2 linked regions of the Caenorhabditis elegans genome follow. The protein of the gene in region 1 interacts with the protein of each later gene in a pairwise test. Each region holds a gene or a part of one and is shown on either strand. Other genes may lie near its edges.

What was found. Proteins that work in one complex are often made in the same cells at the same time.
Region 2: the proteins of F21D5.4 (region 1) and srx-135 interact in a two-hybrid assay, tested with the Caenorhabditis elegans proteins (one large-scale study listed by BioGRID).

Annotation. Positions count from the first base shown.
Region 1 is NC_003282.8:8,735,785-8,740,806, forward strand, and holds F21D5.4 (HTH CENPB-type domain-containing protein), read left to right. Parts: upstream 1-2,302; 5' UTR 2,303-2,304; coding exon 2,305-2,490; intron 2,491-2,538; coding exon 2,539-2,724; intron 2,725-2,768; coding exon 2,769-3,176; 3' UTR 3,177-3,317; downstream 3,318-5,022. Other genes in the region: F21D5.5 (uncharacterized protein), read right to left, coding at 16-408, 452-558, 604-781, 827-1,197, 3,320-3,392, 3,442-3,494, 3,542-3,590; mrps-33 (Small ribosomal subunit protein mS33), read right to left, coding at 3,811-4,047, 4,099-4,242; F21D5.6 (Ribonuclease H2 subunit B wHTH domain-containing protein), read right to left, coding at 4,504-4,781, 4,833-4,955, 5,003-5,022.
Region 2 is NC_003283.11:13,856,854-13,862,765, forward strand, and holds srx-135 (7TM GPCR serpentine receptor class x (Srx) domain-containing protein), read left to right. Parts: upstream 1-2,352; 5' UTR 2,353-2,447; coding exon 2,448-2,492; intron 2,493-2,626; coding exon 2,627-2,867; intron 2,868-3,213; coding exon 3,214-3,366; intron 3,367-3,416; coding exon 3,417-3,580; intron 3,581-3,775; coding exon 3,776-3,841; intron 3,842-4,161; coding exon 4,162-4,292; intron 4,293-4,341; coding exon 4,342-4,468; 3' UTR 4,469-4,549; downstream 4,550-5,912. Other genes in the region: srx-136 (7TM GPCR serpentine receptor class x (Srx) domain-containing protein), read left to right, coding at 595-883, 935-1,087, 1,210-1,373, 1,421-1,620, 1,972-2,089.

The DNA.
Region 1 (5,022 bases):
AATTTCAAATTGGAATCACTCGATCAAATACATCTTGTAAAGTTTTTCGTGTTCTTCCACTTCGAATTTCGGGCGGAAATTAACTTTCACAATCTGTGAAAATCCCTCGGACAGTGTTGGTTCAACATATTTTCCTTTATGAATTCTTAATACCATTGACGAGATTTCAGCTGCATTATCATCTGTTAACACTCGGAATCGAATATTGTGCTGTGCGTGTTCCATACTACAATTCATCTCGAAACATCGAATGGGCACTCCGAGCTCTTTTGCCACGTCAATATATCGCTTTCGTGATTCTAGATCCGGTGATGTGTTATCAATAACTACAGATTTTCCATCAGCAAGATATGAACGAGTGGCTGCTACACACTTTTGCCATGTTCCGATCGTGTCACGATTCACAATATGAATCAAAAATTTTTGAGTTGAAAAATGCTCCAAAACTTACTTTATAATCATGTTGATGACCGAGCATTTTAGCAAAAGTCGACTTTCCTGAACCGGGAAATCCAACCATTAGAATAATTTCTTTTTCGGATGATTTAAGTTGAGCATCTGAAAATATAATTATATTTATGTTTTCTCATAATTTTATTTCACCATGAGGTTCAAGTTCAGTAATTTCCTCTGAAAATAGATTTTTTGGATCAAAGTTTGGTGGTCCCCAGGGCTCATCAACTTTCGATTTTCCGAAAAATTCTTCTGGAGTTTGAAATTTAACACCGACATTTGCAGCAAAGAAACGATCTGCGTATGAGTGATCTTTTTTAGGACGACTCTATAAAATTAGAATTAAATGAAAGTTGAATCTATTCACACGTACTGTAGTCTTGATTCTTCCAGCAGCATCTCCAACAAAAATGCTTTCTTTTTCATTAATTTCCACTTCATCATTTCTCAATTTCAGCTCATTCCACATACCAACACATGGTTTTCTATAGTGTCCCCCAGCAACTGAAACAAATGCTTGAACAGGTATTCCAAGTTTTCCAACAATTGCTTCAATTTTCTTCCTAAATTCATTTCGATCAACTTTTCCAGCGTGGATGCCTTTTTGATTTGTGAAAATGACAATTTTGAATCCGTCGGAATGCAATTTTTTGAAATCTGATGGAATTGAGTCATATAGAAGTTGCCAATCTTGACAATTTGTTGGAAACACTTTTCCAGACTTTGTTTTGATCAGAGTTCCGTCTGAAAATACGATTTTTTTAAACAAAAATATTTTTTTCATACACTAGAAAGTTTAGAACAACTCATAAATTTAACCTTTTTCAGGTTTTCATCTATTATTGTTGTGGAGATCGACAAAAAATAGTTGTAGGGGTTCGAATCTACAGTAATTTTAGGGATTTCCACAAAAATTTGGCAATTTACCAAAAAAAAAATTGATTAGTATTACATTTTTATTAATTTGTGCAAACTACTTAATTTGAAGAAAATCAAATGGAAATTACATCACAATTTTAGGTTCAAGGGATAAATGTACCGAGCCAGAGGCTCACTGCTTGAATAGTCTCAGTAAGGCCAAGTTTCTTGATACTAATTTCATATTTCGTGAAAATTATCAATTCTGCGCCAAAAATATGTGTTTTCTTTTGATAGAAGACGTGAGTTTTCCCACTCATCAACAACAAGAAAATCAAAAAATATATCCATACACCACTCAGTATTTCTAGTCGTCTGTGTTCTCTAATTGTAGGTCACAGCCTCCCTCCATTAGACAGGCATAGTATGTTTGTCTGTGTCTCTTCATCTTCATACACACTCTGAATGTTTGTCTGTTGTCTCTTGAAGTGTGGACACCCTCTATTAAAACGGCACTCCCTTCTTCTTGACGTTAGAATTCATTGATTTTTTTCTATTTATTTATTTTATCTTTTCTAAAGATGCAAATGTAAATATTACACAGATGCGAAATTTTGTGATTTTCAACGCAAAAATACGATACTCGGTCTTGACACTGCGGAATAAGTTTATATGAAAAAAAGTGCACCTTTAAAAAGTACAGTAACCTCTACGAGTCACTGTTCTGACTTATTCATCTTCGACTTTTTTCCTGAATTTTGCATAAAATTTTAGTATTTTTTGATTTGTCTCACAAAAAACAATTTTTTTTTGGGAAAAATGTGAAAATCGGAAAATCAAACCAATGAGGCAGGGAGATTACTGTACTTTTTAAAGGATATTCGGTCGTGCCAAGACCTAGTATCGCATTTTTGCGTAGGAAATCGCAAAATTTCGAATCTGAGTAATACTATTCTAACCGAAATGTAGAATTCTCAGCTTTAAACTTCAGAAATGACTGAAATCTCTCCTAAAATACTTGAAACTTCATCCGAGCCACCACCAAAAAAGAAGCGTGCCAATTTTACACTCGAATTCAAAAATGAAGTTATTCGATTTGCTGAACAAACAAATAATTGTCAAGCTCAGAAGAAATATGGAGTTGCAAGAGCTTGTATTCAACGATGGAGACATTTGAAGGTATTTCTGAACTACAGTAGTTCTATCAACAAATTTCTGGAATTTCAGCACGAATTAGCATTCGAATCAGAAGGAAAACAAGGAGCAAAGAGGCTCGGTGGAGCAGGAAGACCGCTAAAGAATGTGGAATTAGATGAGAAAGTTGAAGATTGGATTGCTTCGAAAAACGGGAAAATTTCGGGAAAAGATATCAAGGAATATGCGAAGAAAATTAATGGAAATGCAGACTTTAAGGTTTGAAACATTTAAACTCGAATTTCGAATAAAATATTTTCTAGGCAAGTAATGGTTGGCTTCAAAGATTTATGATTCGACACGGATTGATAAAAGCAAGAAGTTCAAGCCCAAAAACGCCATCAACTAGTGATGGCACAACAGACAAAACGCTTGAAGAATCACTTTTTGAACTAATTAACAGTGATGAATGGAAGAATATATCAGAAGGAAATGTTTCAGGATTCCTAGAAGATTTTAATGCAGAAAATGGAGAAACTAGTTTAAAAGTCGAGGGAAACAATAGTACAACCACAGAGAGTGAAGTAAAACAGAAACCAAATGAATCATCGAAATTGCCAGAAATAAACATTTTTCAACAATTGGAGATGCTTATTAAGGATTCTAATGGGAAGGAAGACAGTGTAGAAGAAACCGAAACATCTGTGAACCGTTCTCCGAAATCTTATTAATTTTTTGTTATCGTTCATATTTTTCTAAAACTATAGCATGTTATTTTCCATTGAAACAATTCATATCTGATATTCATAATCAAAATTTGGAATACTCATGGAAAGTTAAATCTCGCCAATAAAATAATGTGACCAATTCTTACCCATATCGAATGCGGCAATTTTCTCTTTTCCTTCACATTCTGAATGGGTGAAAATCATCAAATCGCCGTTGTCCTGGAAAAATCAGACTTTAGTTTTTTTTAATGAAGTTTATTTTTGAAACCTTTGATTCCCAGGATCCAGTCTTTTTCAGTGGTCGTCCAAATAAATCAGTATCTGTAAACCGGAGATGAACTTTTTCAGATAAATTGCAAAATCGAAACCTTTAGATTTTTTCGCTTCGTTTTTTGCTCCATCCATTGCTCTTTTCATAATTCTAAGTCTGAAAACTGCTGAAAAAAGCAACGTCTGCCAATTATTTGTGGAGCAATTAAAAAGAAAATCAATAATCGATATTTTCTGTGTTAAAAACTTTAATTTTATTGGAAAAATGTAGCAAAACCTCAAAAAGAATTTATTTTCAATTAAAACAAACGTAAAAAAAAAATCAACAAAACTTCTAATCTAGATTTAAACTTCGAGAACATCCACACTACTTCTTTCCTCTCAATTGTGCACGCTTTCCTTGACCGATTGGTGGCCGAACAACTTTTCCGCGAATAATTTTCAAATTATCTTGAACATCTCTGAAAACTACGTGATCATCAAAAAATAGTCCATGGAATCGTAGCATTTTGGTCAAATAATGAAACATCGGAAGATTTGGATAGTATTTCGGTGATAATTGTTCTTTGGTTTCATATGGTTCTGCAGACATTACTCGGACAACCTGTAAATGAAAATTTTCAGAAACTTTTCTTTATAAAAATCATCTAAAAACCTTTAAACTTTTAGTGTCAGTTGGCATGACAACCTCTCCCCATACTCGATTTGACAATCGATCCATTCGTTTTCCGAATGGTGTAGGTTGAGAGATTCCGCGGCCGGCGTGCACAATTCGTGATGCAGCCAGACGTGCCGCCATCTTAAAATATTTTTTTTATTGTTGATCCGTTAAAATCGGATGAAACTGTTAAATATAGATATAAATAGGCAAAGGACCCATTTCGGAAGGAGTATTCTCAATCGAAAACGTTTCAAAGTTTCAGTTATTTAGTACACGAATTAAAAAATGTGTGAAATGCAAAATTGAGATTGAGCAAAGTAATAGCATCGGAATCATAGATAAATTGAGGTCAATGTTATGAAATTATATGCGAAATTGTTGAATAAAGAAAATAGAGATTCAAGCAGATTTTTTTCCAAAAAATGAGCTGATTGATTTGGTTCCCTTCGAGGCGGCTTGAAGTTTCTTTGATTGTACTGATTCTTTTGGTTTCTTTGCGACAGGTTGCTTCTTATCTTCAAGCTCATCGTCATCCACAGCTTTTCGTTTCATACTCATATCGATGTTCTCGGAGACAGTAGCATCTTGAATATTCAAATGATCTTTAACAATCAATGCAAGATCAGAAGAAAGATATTCAGACAGGAATGTGAAAACATAACGATCGAATGCTTCCGCTGAAATTTATTTCATTTTGGTAAAATTAAGAAGCAAAACGAGAAACTTACGACATGACAACAAAGACTTGTGGGCATCACTTTCTAGAAGTTTTTTGAGAGAATCAAACTTCCTTCTCATCCAATCCAACATTTTTTGATCGTTCAAACGATATAGTTTGACATCGAGAACATCTGGAAATCTTTTATTTTTCCATCTCCACGAACTGATATTTCCAAACCTTTGACATCTGAAACAGCT
Region 2 (5,912 bases), on another chromosome or scaffold:
ATTCTCGTGTCGAACAAAATTATGAATCAGCGTTTCAAAGAAATATGGAAATGCGTAATGCTTTTCGTTCGTTTTGAAACCCGAGAATTTGGATCTAAAATCTGACACATTTTAACAAACTGTAATAAAAATCAGTAACTCATATCAAATGGGATTTTTCAAACTATGTTTCCAAAGAAAATTGAGATACAATTGTCAATTGTTATTATTAAAAAAATTAAAAATGTGTCCGCTCTCTTATTTTTTAATTGTGAGGTACCAGGGTCACAACAAGAGAAGCAATATATAATTACGCAAGTCGTTTATTTTTTACCGCCAAGGAAGTATATTTTTGACCAAACAGAGATATCCCCCACGACCCATTTATTTCAAACAATAAAAATTGATTTCTTGAACCCTATTTTTTTACTCAGAAATTCAGGCTTTCTCCAGACAGACCCGGTCAAGCAGCTGTCTTGCTATAATAGTTATGATTACGCAAAAAAGAGGAAAAGGAAATTGAGAAGGAATAGGATATAATTCACTCAACTCTTGGCCCTGATCTGCCTTCCACGTGGGGGAATAAGTATTATTTTCAAAGCCAGAAAAAATATAATGATTACAATGGTTTTTATAATTTTTGCCAATTTTTTATTATTCATAATCAGTTTTTCTGGAACCATACTAAATTCTTATTTACTCTACAAATTCAGTACAAGACGAGGAGTAATCAGCGGATTCTATAAACTTTGTTTAGTCAAAACCGTTCCAAATATAGTCGTCTGCGCGTGTTTTTTAATTTGGGCTGTTCCACTGGGCAGTTTTCGAGTGAAAAATGACAAAGTGCCGAGAGATGCAAATGTTTTTGTCGGACAGTTGGCAGGTGCCGGATCATATATATTTGGTGAGTTTTTTGAAATCACTAAATGTACGTATTAAAATCTTCTAAATGCAGGACCACTTCTTCACGTCGGCATGTCATCAAACAGATTTTCATCCCTGTATTTCCCAATTCAAATAATGAAAGCAAATCGATATCCAATTACAACAATTTCAATTGGAGTTGCTTTTATCATAGCTGTCGTTTTTACAGTGATTGGGCTACCAAGTATGTCGTTTGAAATTAATAAAACATAAAAAATGTTAAACACTCAAAAATAATCAAGTATATAAAAAACAGAATACAAAATATCAATAAACGATTTCCAGTCTAACCTTTTTAACTTCCAGAAGATTGCGGCTTCTTATACTTCCCTGAAACACTGGAATGGCTTTCCGAGGAAGCGCCGTGTGCAATATTTCAATACGATCTTCTCCTTTACTCCATTCTTGGATGTGCCGTGATTTCAAACTCTATGAACCTGGCAACAGCGGGAAGATTACTTTTTGATAAGGTATATAATACAGAACTTTTAACTAATTTATTTAGTATTGCTTCTAGGTTGGCGGCATGAGTGCAGCTGATTCGAAAGTCCGCCGAAAGAAATACCTCGTCACATATTGTCAAACTGTACTTCAAGATTGTCTACATGTCCTCGACATGATTAACAGTACATACACGTGGCAAATATATCCAGATTCAATATGGTTTCAGTTCTTCTGTCTCACTTTTTCTTTTGCCTCAATTCACTGTTTCGATGGGTGAGTTAAAATTACATTTAAAAAAATTGGATATCCATATGGAATCAAGCTTGAAATGCGATGTGTCGAAGTTAGACTTTTTAAATCGTTTTATTTGCATGAAATATCTTTGAAGTTTGGCCAGTTCATTTTGTTACACGTTAGGAGAGCTTTGAAAAATCGAAAAGTCCTGCCTACAAAACTCCATAACAAATTAAGTGGAATCAAATTTGAAATTTGATACCAATTTACTAACGAGAAATTGTTATTGTTATTGTATAAATCTACATATCTCCACTTGACTCTACCGTTCAGTTTTATTTTGCCAGCCTTGTCAAGCATAATTTTCTGAAAAAGAAATAAGGCTTTTAGATTCGTCATGTTCTACTTTCACAGCGAAGTTCATCCCAAATGGATGTGGCGGAAGGCGATGAGGAAAAAATCATTAATTTTAGTTGTTGCAATGTCAAAACCATCTACGTTCAGTTAACTGGTATTTTTTCTGAATTTAATTCATCATAGCTCAAAGTCATTTTGTTTTCTCGTATTTGTTGGTTATAAATCGTAAAACCCGTAATTTCAAGTACCAAAACAAGCATATAATTACAAACTTGAGCCGGCGTACACATCACGTGACCAGTATTTTTTCTCAGCTTCAGATTATTTTAGCACGTACTTGAGAAGGAGGCAATAACGGCGACAAAACCCAATTACCTAACACCCCTCCACGAACAAGAAATCTAGTTGTCCAGAATGATATTTCATCTGGCTCGTTTATTGACTCACAATTTATGACGGAAGAAAATTTGGTTCCAGACCAACTTCTTTTTATTCCGGAATCAAAGTTGATGTCGGTCATATTTCACGTTATTGCAGTTGTTTCTATGTTTACGGTAAGTTTTGAAAGTATAAAGTAAAAAGGTTATCAAAAAAAAAACCACGAAAGGGGCTCAGAAACTTGGTCTGTCAGCCATCTAACTGTATTACGAAATTACATAGAATTTTCGTACCCAATTCCAAATTCCAGATCAGTGCAATGGGTCTCGCAGTGAACACATATCTTTTTCAAAAATTTTCCAACAAAGCAGGTAGAGCAAGTGCTTTTCATAAGCTGTGCCTTGTCAAAACGATTCCAAATGCAATTGTGTGTGCATCATTTCTCATATGGGTTGTACCTTTGTCAATATTTCAGCCAGATTACGAAAATATTCCAAGAATACTGAATGTATTTGTTGGTCAAACTGCCGGGTTTGGCGCATATGTCACAGGTGAGTTTTTAGTCTCAGAATTGGAATACAAAATAACTAAAATCCTCTATTAAACAATAGACATGTATTAGCGACAAAATGAGTTTTTAAAAAACGGGGAATGAACTCATAAATCACACAAAACAATGTCGTGATTGTCTTTTTTGTGCCCTAAACTATAGAATAATTTTGTTTTGATGGCTAAAACTATAGTCTTTAAAATCTGAAACATACGCATACTCATACTCAGCTTGTCTATTAAAAATAATGTTGATCAAATCAACTAGAAAACAATGATTCAAACTAACTTCTGTATAAAATGTACGAAGTCTTCTTCTACTTTAAAATTAATTCCATAATTTTTCAGGACCAATACTGGAGCTATTCATGTCTTTGAATAGATTTGCAGCATTGTACTTTGCAACTAGACACCTACGTATAAGCGACTTTCCAATAACAGGAATTGCTATAATTGGAGCCTTTGCAGTAGCTATTCTGTACACATGCCTAGGCTTTAGACGTGAGTCATTACCATCGGAAAGTTACAGTAATAAATTTAATTATATTTAGCAAATTGCGGATTTGTGTTCTATCCGGCTACATTTACTTGGGATAAAGAGTACACACCCTGTGCAACTGGGATGTCTTCATTAATATTTTATTCAGTGGTTGCTATTGCCACGTGGACCAATTGTTTGAATGTAGCCACAGCATTCAAGTTGTCCATTGGAAAAGTGAGCTTTTGATTATTTGTTTTTTATTAGTTCAAGATGAGCGATTTTTACGAATGAGTTGTTCAAATTCATTACGAACTTGGGTATAATGATGTACATATTTACAAAAATATGCATCATTTCTAAAACATAGATTAAAATTTCAAAAGATCAGACTTATTTGAATTAAAATGTAACAACTGAGTGAAGTTTTAGGTTGCTGGAATGAATCAAGCCGATGCACATCGACGGAAAAAGAAGTTGATTTTGATGTTCACACAAGTAAGTTTATATCAGGCTTTACAGACAATTAAGACGCACATCTTTACAAAAGTCGAAGACCCGAAAAAAAATTAGCTTTTTCATGAGATAACTGGAGAAAGTCGAAAAATGTGTTTAATTTTTTTTCAGAGTTTTTAAATTCAAACACAATGTTTTCTATATTTAGTTTCTGAAAACTTTACACAAACAATATTAGCAATATCAGATAATAACAAAAAAAGGAGAAAATCTTTATTCCAATGAGCTCACAATCACAGACAGAACCGTTGACCACGAATTTGCTCGCTTCACTTGCATCCAAATTATCGTTTCTTTTTCAGAGTGTCATTCAAGACTGTCTTCACGTGATAGATCTCATCAACAGCATCTTCATATTCAAACTAAGCGATGCTCTTTGGTTTCAGTTCATTTTTCTTTCAATATCGTTTCTTCTTATTCATGCACTCGACGGGTAATCAAGCGTGGAGCAGCGTATTTAGACACAAAACTCTTTATTTCAGTTTTGTGATGCTCTATTTTCACCCTGAAGTTCATCCCAACTTTCTGAGAGGAAAGACGTCATCAAAGATAGCTACAATTGCAACGCCTACTTTTTTGGGAGATAGGAAAATTACAACTGTTGAATAATTATTCTCATTTTCAAATTTTTTTCGCTAGAACTTAATAATTTTATGTGATTGTTATTTGCGTGAATCCGGGTGAAATACAATACTCACATCAGTTCAATACAAATGTTCTAAATTTTTTACAGCTGTTAAGTCTCAAAGAATGTTAAAGTGTTGGAATTGTCTGTAAGACTGAAAAAGATTACTCAGTTTAATACCATGTATGATGTGGCATCTTTGCAAGACCCTAAAGGTGTTAATGTATAACATAACAAATCTAATTGTGCCGCGATTTTTATTGATAAACAAAAAATCAAAGCCCCATATTTTTAAAGATGCAGGTGAATTTTGAATAATGTTTACTGTTTTTGCTGAATTTTAAATGTCATAGATTGACAAACCACTATATGATCGAAATTTAATATAAAAACCGGAGAAAAACGAAAACAGATCTTGTTCTGATCTGGATGAAGAGATCTCGAAAATGTTCTGAAAGCGTGAAATAATTGAAACAAGCATGGGTGGTCATTTGGATTAATATACGATTATGTAGGTATTTTTTGTTACGGCTTACAAATGTGCTGTTATTGCGTCATTTTTATTAATTTCAGAAGTTTTCTTAGAAGTTTCACTTTTTTCAGAAGATGCATATGTATTCTTTTGGTTTTTCTTTGTAACATCACTTTTTGTTAACCTGAGAATTCTAATGCAAAAATTCTCACTTCAAGCATTTCTCAAAGTTTGTTTGAGACTTGAACACCACAATCTATGTACTCAGTTGTTTTTTATAGGTTTGTATGGCACGAGCGCAGAAGAAAATTTGAAATATTTGCAAAAAAAAACGTTGAAATTTAATTTTAAGTTTGTAATTCAAAAAAATGAAAAATTATTTTTTAAGTGGATAAGAGAAAACTAATTGCAGAAATCTAGTACGAAAACTGCAAAATTTAACGTGTTTTTGTTGTGATGCATAATAGGATTTCGTTTCAATTAAAGCTTCGCATTAAATGCCAAAAACTTTTAGCAAATACTTGAATAATTCATTAGACCAATAAATCTTCGTATAGTCGAGATTATTGTGAATGCCACACTGCATTCCATTAGTTTTCATGAAATTTTTCGGTTTTATTCATTTTCGTCATAAACAACAATAAAGATCACACATATTTTAAGTCTAAACTAATGTTTCACATTTTATAAATCTTAAGAGACAATTTCGAAGCTACCTTGATTTAATCTTTGATAGCCCTAACTTCTAGCCATTCACAAAACCTCTTCCCTTTTTGTGTCCGGAAAACTTAATTCATTTTCGTTGTGACTTCCCACGATTGTTTGACAACAAAGTTCTATGAGATGTCTATTCTCTAATAATTTTCCCAGAATCCAGACAATTTAAGAATCACAGATTTCATGATTAGTCTACTTCTTTGTTTTTGCTCCAACTAATCCTTGTGCTCATAACTGTA